2 linked regions of the Drosophila melanogaster genome follow. The protein of the gene in region 2 interacts with the protein of the main gene of each other region in a pairwise test. Each region holds a gene or a part of one and is shown on either strand. Other genes may lie near its edges.

Region 1 (3,894 bases), on a different chromosome or scaffold from region 2:
GGATACCACTGGATTATGTGGTTTTAGACCCCGATCGTCCTACAGAAACAAGACAAACGAGGAGAAGGACGGATAGCTGTACGAAACCCTCTCAAAGGCTGGCCAACCAAGATTCGCTGATTGTCTCCGAGTTTTTACCTGCCACCACAGCCCAACCACGACTGGATCTATCCGACTCTCAGCTGGAGCAACTGGAATCCCCAGCATACGAGATGCGCACCGTGGACTATGCTGCCGTCGAACTGAAACACTACAACCTGGACGAGTACAACGAGGCCAATCGCCTGCTGGACGTGGAGCCCAGTGGCAGCCAGGCCATCTACAAGTGCCAGTACTGCCCACTGGCTTATGCCTCGCCTCAATATCTGAAAACCCACGTGCGCAATTCGCACGTCTGCAAGTACTGCACCACCGCCTTCGCCAAGGTTCGCGATCTCAATGAGCATATTCGGCAGAAGCATCCGCATCACCAGTGCGTTGTCTGCTCCAACAACTTTAGTACCAGTAGCAATCTGAGGGCTCACTTAAAGAAAATTCATGGAGTTCAGCTGCCCGCACAGGTGGCACTGCTGGATTACAGGCCAGCCAGTCAGGATCGGGATAATCCGCGCTCATAATAAAGATTATATTACATAGTTACATTGGTCTTGTTTGCTAGTTTATTTGCCAGAATATCTGAGACTTTTCTCGGACAGGATCTCCCTTTTGGATGTCTACGCCATTGATGTACATGGGCGTAAACTCCCGGTAGGCTACACAAACGCGGCGCTCTTGGACATCCTCGCGTAGTACAGAATGCTCAAACTGGTACCTCGCTGGCCCATACAAAACTATCAAGGAGAGGCTGAAAAGCAGGGATAGTAAATTTAACCCGGAAGAGAAGGCAATAAATAAGTAAACTTACTTTGGCATAGGTATGCGCAGCACCTTTCCCTCAAAAGTTGCAAGTTGGTCATCTGTCAGTAGAGGCGCCAATAGTTCATCTTCGTAGCTGGCAACCAAGTCCAAGTTGTACTTGCCCGATTGTTGAACTTCGTAGGGCGTCAAAGTGAGCACTGAGTCGCCGAGGCAGTTGACAGTGACCACACGCTCGCCCCAGATCCAGCAATCGTCCACGTGCGGATCTATGCTGGCTCCTTTGCTGGGCTCGTACTCCAGGGAGCACTGTTCGATGGTCTGAAAGCCACGAAGCAGGGGAACGTCTTCGAAGCGCCGTTGCACATATTCCGTTGTCCTGGGGAATCCGGCAAAGGATCCCAGCCGCAGTTTGCGCTTTTTAAAGTTGGTCTTGGGTCCGAAGTTCTGTTTTCGCCTGCCGCTCTGCGAGATGTCCCATGGCAGGTCATCCAAGTCGGCTATAAGTTGGGCGCCCTCATCAACGCTAAGGAATTCCTCCTGCACCAGGATGCCCGGCAGTGGGAGGCCCTCATCTTTTTTGTGATTTTCATGATCCTTTTGGACATGATTGGTATCCCAACCGCGCTGCAGAAGGTCGCACTGGATACAGTAGGACCATGCTTCCAGTTGCTGGAATTGTTCCCGTAGCGAGGTCTTCGCTATATGAAAGTCCTGTTCGCAGCTCAAGCAGGTGCGAACGCCCTTACAACCGCAAGGACGAATTGTATTCATCCTGAAATTGGGCAAAAGCACGTTAATTACAAACAGACTGCCAGTGTTACCGGATGTTCCAAATATACCGGCTTCGGTATCGTAATAAAATACCAATCATAGAATTAATGTTTGGTAAATACCGACCAGAATTTCGAAAATAATCGTAATAAAATACCAATCATAGAATTAATGCTTTGGTAAATACCGACCAAAATTTCGGAGAATAATACCTAATTCGGTCTAGTATGCTCGGATTTTTCGCTTTGTCTCACCACGGGTTGTCATCCTCTATTTTTGCATCGTCATCGGACTCCGAATCCCTTTCATCAACCTTCAGCTTGCAGGTGCAGTGCTGAGCATACCTAAGCCAAAGTAAGTTGAATTATCGCCCACTCTACCGCGTTACTTTACTACCGGGAGCTTACGCCCATGTACTGTAGATGGTCTGGCTGCCACTGGGCTCCACCACCACGCGTTTTTTAGTTCGATAGCAGCATGCTCCATGCATAGTCCATGCTTATAAGACATTACAATGTGAAACTCTGATGAGAAAATGTTTATAAGTCGAAATTAATTTCGTTATATGGCGGTTACCTTAGCCAATAATTCCTCATACTTTCAAATTCATTAGTTTATAGGACAATTAACTTAAACTTTCTCATCTTCGCTGCTTTGCAGAAGGTTGCAGCTAAACCGAAGACCGCTCCAAATGTAAAGGGTGGCCAAGATATGTGGTCGACCGACCGTACCAAGAAAGCCAACTCTTTAACCAACCCAAAAATAGCAAGAGGAAGTGGAATACGTTATTGATTATGTTGCCTCCAAGTAGGGCGGAATGTTCAATATAAGACGGGAAACTATGGATCAAATGATGATTCCCGGGATTCAAGCAAGAATTTGGCTTGCTATGCATTAATCAAAAAATAACTCAGCAGAAGGTCAAGGGCCTACGCGAATTGAATAAGATTCTTGAAGCCAGGAATGCCATCACTTCGACCCCCAATAATGGCAAAAAATCCTTGTAGTGGATTCGGATGATAATGCTAATGACTCCGATGTGGACCCTAGTGCCGATAAAGAAGCAAGCTGAGCATGGCTCCGACTTTATCCGTTAGAAATGGCAAGAATGCTGCTGAAATGGATTCGGAGTCCGATGACGATGCAGAAATGGAGAATGACAAATCAGTACAACCCCAGGTGAGATTATTATTATATAGATTATATTAGATTAAATTAGAAAAATCAAAGCACACAGATATATAACCCTCAGTTCATTCTTCGAAATTCTGGCCAGCATTTACATAACATTGATGGTATGATTGGTATTTTACCACGAATAAACTGTTGTTAATGTGTTTTTACGCAATTTTAGGATGAATACAATTCATAGTTGCGGTTGTATGGGCGTGCGCACCTGCTTGAGCTGCGAACAGGACTTTCAGGTAGCAAAGAGCTGCCTCGGCGAATCAGTGCTCTCTTTGATGCCCTACGAAGTTCAACAACCGGGCAAGTACAACTTGGACTTGGTGGCCAGCTACGAAGATGAACTATTGGCGCCTCTACTGACAGATGACCAATTTGCAACTTTTGAGGAAATGGTGCTGCGCATACCTTTGCCAAAGTATGTTGACTTATTTATTGCCCACTCTTCCGGGTTAAATTTACTATCCCTGCTTTTCAGCCTCTGCCTAATAGTTTTGTATGGACCAGGGTGAGCCAAGCTTTGGAGATGGAGGGCAGGTCATCGCTATCTTCTGCCGTTTGACGAGCCCTAGCCTTGCGTCCACATTGGAATCACTATCATCATCATCCGAATCCTCTACAACGATTTTTTCCCCATTATTGGTGGTCAATATGTCGGCAATCCTGGCCTTGACGATCTTAGTCAATTCGCGCAGCTCCTTAACATCAACGTTCTTCTGAGTTACATTTCGATTAGTGCATCGCAAGCCAGATTCTTGCTTGGCTCTCAGGAATCATCCTTTGGCCCATAGTTTTCCATCTGATCTTGAACATTTCGCCCTCCTTGGTGGCTACATGATAAATCATTTTTCCACCTCCCTTTGCTTCTCTGAGTCGGTTGAAGCGTTGGCTTTCTTGGTGCCGGCGGTCGGTCGACCACGTACCTTGGCCATCTTCACATTTGGTGCGATTTACATAGCTGCAACGTTGCAATTATTCGAGTATGAGGAGTTTTTGGCTAAGGTAAGAGAGTTTCACAAAGCATAAATGTTTATTCGTTAATATATTTTCAATTTAGGCAGTCATTCTTAATTGTTACAT
Region 2 (3,917 bases):
TTTAATGTACTGTTTATTCAATTTTTTTTTTGGCATAATCAAAACGGTTTATATGTGGCACTCATGGCTAACAAGTGGCACTCAGACCATTTTACTGCAGCTTTTTCTGTTGCTCCTGCTGCTCCCTCTTGGCCGCATTATTAATCCGCATGGTCTGGACAAGCTGCTTGGCCACCCCAGCGAGCAGTATGATGTGGGTGAAGTGAAGGGCAGCGCTGGAGAAGTTCGTACTGGGATAGGTGTTCCAGCAGTACTCAATCAGTCCGAGGATCAGGCAGCGCACGCCCAGCGAGTACGGCGTCGACCAGGCCAAATAGGGTAGCGAGTGGAAGTACCAGACGTAGAACTGATAGTGCAAGGATCGGGAGCAGGCCACGCCCACCAGGTTGCACAGGAAGAACGGCAGCAGGGCCAGCTGGGTGCAGCGATCGAAGTGGATGCCATAGCGTTCCGGTTCCGCCTGTGCGGGTGCCGGAGTGGCCTTTCCTCCAGACGCCTTCTGCAGGCTCTTCTCGAAGGCCTTCAGGAAGGATTGCTGCTCGGTTGTAAACTTCTTCTGGTCCTTGTCCTTGTCCTTTTCCACTTTCTTTGGTCTTTTCTGCGCGTTCAGCTCGAGGTTCTGCTGGGCTATTTGCGGCTGCAGCTGATCCTCAATACGGCGCAGGCGCACGTAGCTCTGGAAAAAGGTCCAAGTGGGCTTGGCGAAGGCCAGCAGGAGCAGCAGATGCAGGCCCAAAAGCGAAACGTGGAAGGTGCGGTTCTCGAACAGATCTCTGCTCAGGAAGCGATAGTTGACCGTCCACTTGTGCTCGAAGATGCGTCCCAAATCAAAGCTGCCCCGCAGATACTCCACAGGATGGGTGAGCAGGAAAGGAGCGCCCAGCAGCAGTTGTATCACTCCGCAGACAGCCAGCTGCAGGATCGTCCGCAGAAGTCCCAGGTTGGCCAAGTAGAACAGCAAGAGCGCAGGCGCAAACAGCAGGATGTTCATCTTAACGCCCACCGCCAAGCTGAAGAAGGTGCTACCCAGGGTCCACCTTCTGTCCAGGAACAAATTGAGTGCGGCATAGAGGAGCAGCACTGCCACCGGATCGTTGAACAGTCGCAGCACGTATATCGAGTGGATCCGATACGACGTGAAGGCACTGAGCACTAGCACATACGGCGGCACCTTTCTGCTCTTCGAGTACAGCCTCAGCACCAGGGCCAGCTGGAGCAGGTAGATCCCGGCGAAGATGTACTGCGCCAGGCGAACGTTCGTTCCGTGGGACGTGACGTAGTAGAGAGCCGAGTAGATGTACACGAAGGCGGCTGGATACACAAGAGGTCCTGTGTCGCCTAGGAAATCGAAAATCGAAGAATTTCAATTATCATAAATTAGATAGAAGGAATGCAATTAGTCATTGTTTTCATTCACTAAGCAGTTATTTCAGTCTGTTTGGGCCTGGGAAAACTATTATATCCATTGAGTTACACTTCATATTTATTTTAAAGGCAAAACTTTAGTTAACTTATTTAATATACGGCTTTTTTAACTTTAACGGTATATAACGATATTTCATTCGCTTTCACGCCGGTTGGTATTTTCGCTCGCTACGCACGCGGTCACATTGAGCAAGTGCGAGTGAGAGAGAGAGAGACAGACATTCGTAGGACAGCATGGATGTTACGGCATGTTGTTGAAAAGCTGAAAATCTGATACTTTTATGGAAAAATGATGATTTCGTGTAAAAAATTATTCGTGTTCCGGCAGCTGCCGGCGGTGCGCCGTTGCCTAGCGGCAGCCGCGTTCTCCACGCCACGCGCGACCTCCTACCGAATCCTCTCCAGCGCCGGGAGCGGAAGTACCCGGGCAGACGCACCCCAAGTGCGCCGCCTGCACACCACGCGCGACCTCCTGGCCAAGGACTACTACGCCACGCTGGGCGTTGCCAAGAACGCCAACGGCAAGGACATCAAGAAAGCCTACTACCAGCTGGCCAAGAAGTACCATCCGGACACGAACAAGGAGGATCCGGATGCGGGCCGCAAGTTCCAGGAGGTCTCCGAGGCCTACGAAGTGCTCAGCGACGAGCAGAAGCGCCGTGAGTACGACACCTATGGCCAGACGGCGGAAAACATTGGTCGCCAGGGCGGCGGATTCCCTGGCGGAGGAGCCGGTGGCTTTGGCCCCGAGGGTTTCTCGCAGAGCTGGCAGTTCCGCTCGAGCATCGACCCCGAGGAGCTCTTCCGCAAGATCTTCGGCGAGGGCAACTTTCGAACGAACTCGTTCGACGACTTCGCCGACTCCAAGTTCGGATTCGGCCAGGCCCAGGAGATGGTCATGGACCTGACCTTTGCCCAGGCGGCGCGCGGCGTTAACAAGGATGTCAACGTCAACGTGGTGGACCAGTGCCCCAAGTGCGCCGGCACCAAGTGCGAGCCGGGCACCAAGCCAGGTCGCTGTCAGTACTGCAACGGCACCGGCTTCGAAACGGTGTCCACTGGGCCCTTCGTAATGCGCTCCACTTGCCGCTACTGCCAGGGCACGCGGCAGCACATTAAGTATCCGTGCAGCGAGTGCGAGGGCAAGGGCCGCACGGTCCAGCGCCGCAAGGTCACCGTGCCGGTGCCGGCTGGCATTGAGAACGGGCAAACGGTGCGAATGCAGGTGGGCAGCAAGGAGCTGTTCGTCACGTTCCGCGTGGAGCGGAGCGACTACTTCCGGCGCGAGGGCGCCGATGTGCACACGGACGCGGCCATATCCCTGGCCCAGGCGGTGCTGGGCGGCACTGTGCGTGTCCAGGGCGTATACGAGGATCAGTGGATCAACGTGGAGCCGGGCACCTCGTCGCACCACAAGATCATGCTGCGCGGCAAGGGTCTGAAACGCGTGAATGCCCACGGACACGGCGATCATTACGTGCACGTCAAGATCACGGTGCCATCGGCAAAGAAGCTGGACAAGAAGCGACTGGCTCTGATCGAGGCGTACGCCGAGCTGGAGGAGGACACCCCCGGGCAGATCCACGGAATCGCGAATCGCAAAGACGGCAGTAAGCAAGCAACGTAAATAATCTCCCGATCTACCAATGCAATCTCTAAATGTAACTTGGAGCTTGAATTCGTAGTTGAAATATACGTGCGTTCTATGTGCGAGCTTTATTAAATGATGGCGTCTTTCTCTCCCCTTCCCCATCTCTCGTTGCAGCGCAGGAGCGAGTGAGGAGCCAGGAGCGGGAGCAGCTGCTAAAGCCAGTGCAGCAGCCGCCGGATCAGGAGCCTCCAAGCCAGGACCAGGAGCAGAAAAAAGCGAAGGCAAAGACCAGTGGACGGACAACGAGAAAACCAAAGCGAAAGAAGGCGGCGGATCCGGATCCGGACAAGGCGACGGCGGAGGCGGAGGCTTCATAAGCAAGATCAAGTCCATGTTCAACTGACAGGCGTTGGCAACCCGATGGCCGATTCTGTTTTTTTAGTGTCTAAGTTAACGCACGTTATTGTTGCTAATCTAAGTTCGGGCGGGAACCGGGGGAGTGTATTCCAAATACGACTCGGTTCGAGATGAATAAACCAAATTGACCGTCAGTCGGGCAAGTTCTGCGTTTAAGCGAGGCTAACTTCACTTGTCTTAATCTCACGCTGCTCCGATTTTCAGTTGCCTAAAGTTCGTGCCGCATTTGATGTCGTCCAACTCCCCAAATCTCTGTGTTTAACCTTTGATGGTAACTGTGTTCAAACATTTGAACCATATGTCAAACTACTCTCCTCGATTTTGAAAATACTTCAAACTTTAAAGTAACTGAAATATCAATTTTATAAGAATTCCAACTAAAAAAGAGCATAAACTATATAGCTAGTTGGAAATAGGCTATCCCCTTAGTAAGGTAACCTAAAATATCGTTATAACCACATCATGCGAAGAACAACAGGTGCAC

Evidence for each region.
Region 1: the proteins of CG5504 (region 2) and CG4036 interact in a two-hybrid assay, tested with the Drosophila melanogaster proteins (one large-scale study listed by BioGRID).

Annotation. Positions count from the first base shown.
Region 1 is NT_033779.5:9,788,705-9,792,598, reverse strand, and holds CG4036 (uncharacterized protein), read right to left. Parts: upstream 1,718-3,894; 5' UTR 1,698-1,717; exon of another isoform or gene 1,631-1,697; 5' UTR 1,630-1,630; coding exon 905-1,629; intron 845-904; coding exon 655-844; 3' UTR 641-654; downstream 1-640. Other genes in the region: CG13123 (uncharacterized protein), read left to right, coding at 1-617.
Region 2 is NT_033778.4:23,705,440-23,709,356, forward strand, and holds CG5504 (uncharacterized protein), read left to right. Parts: upstream 1-1,641; 5' UTR 1,642-1,714; coding exon 1,715-3,048; coding exon of another isoform or gene 3,049-3,052; exon of another isoform or gene 3,053-3,146; intron 3,147-3,190; coding exon 3,191-3,419; 3' UTR 3,420-3,587; downstream 3,588-3,917. Other genes in the region: Alg3 (ALG3, alpha-1,3- mannosyltransferase), read right to left, coding at 92-1,338. UniProt on the Drosophila melanogaster protein: Involved in hh/hedgehog signaling. May act as a tumor suppressor in larval imaginal disks.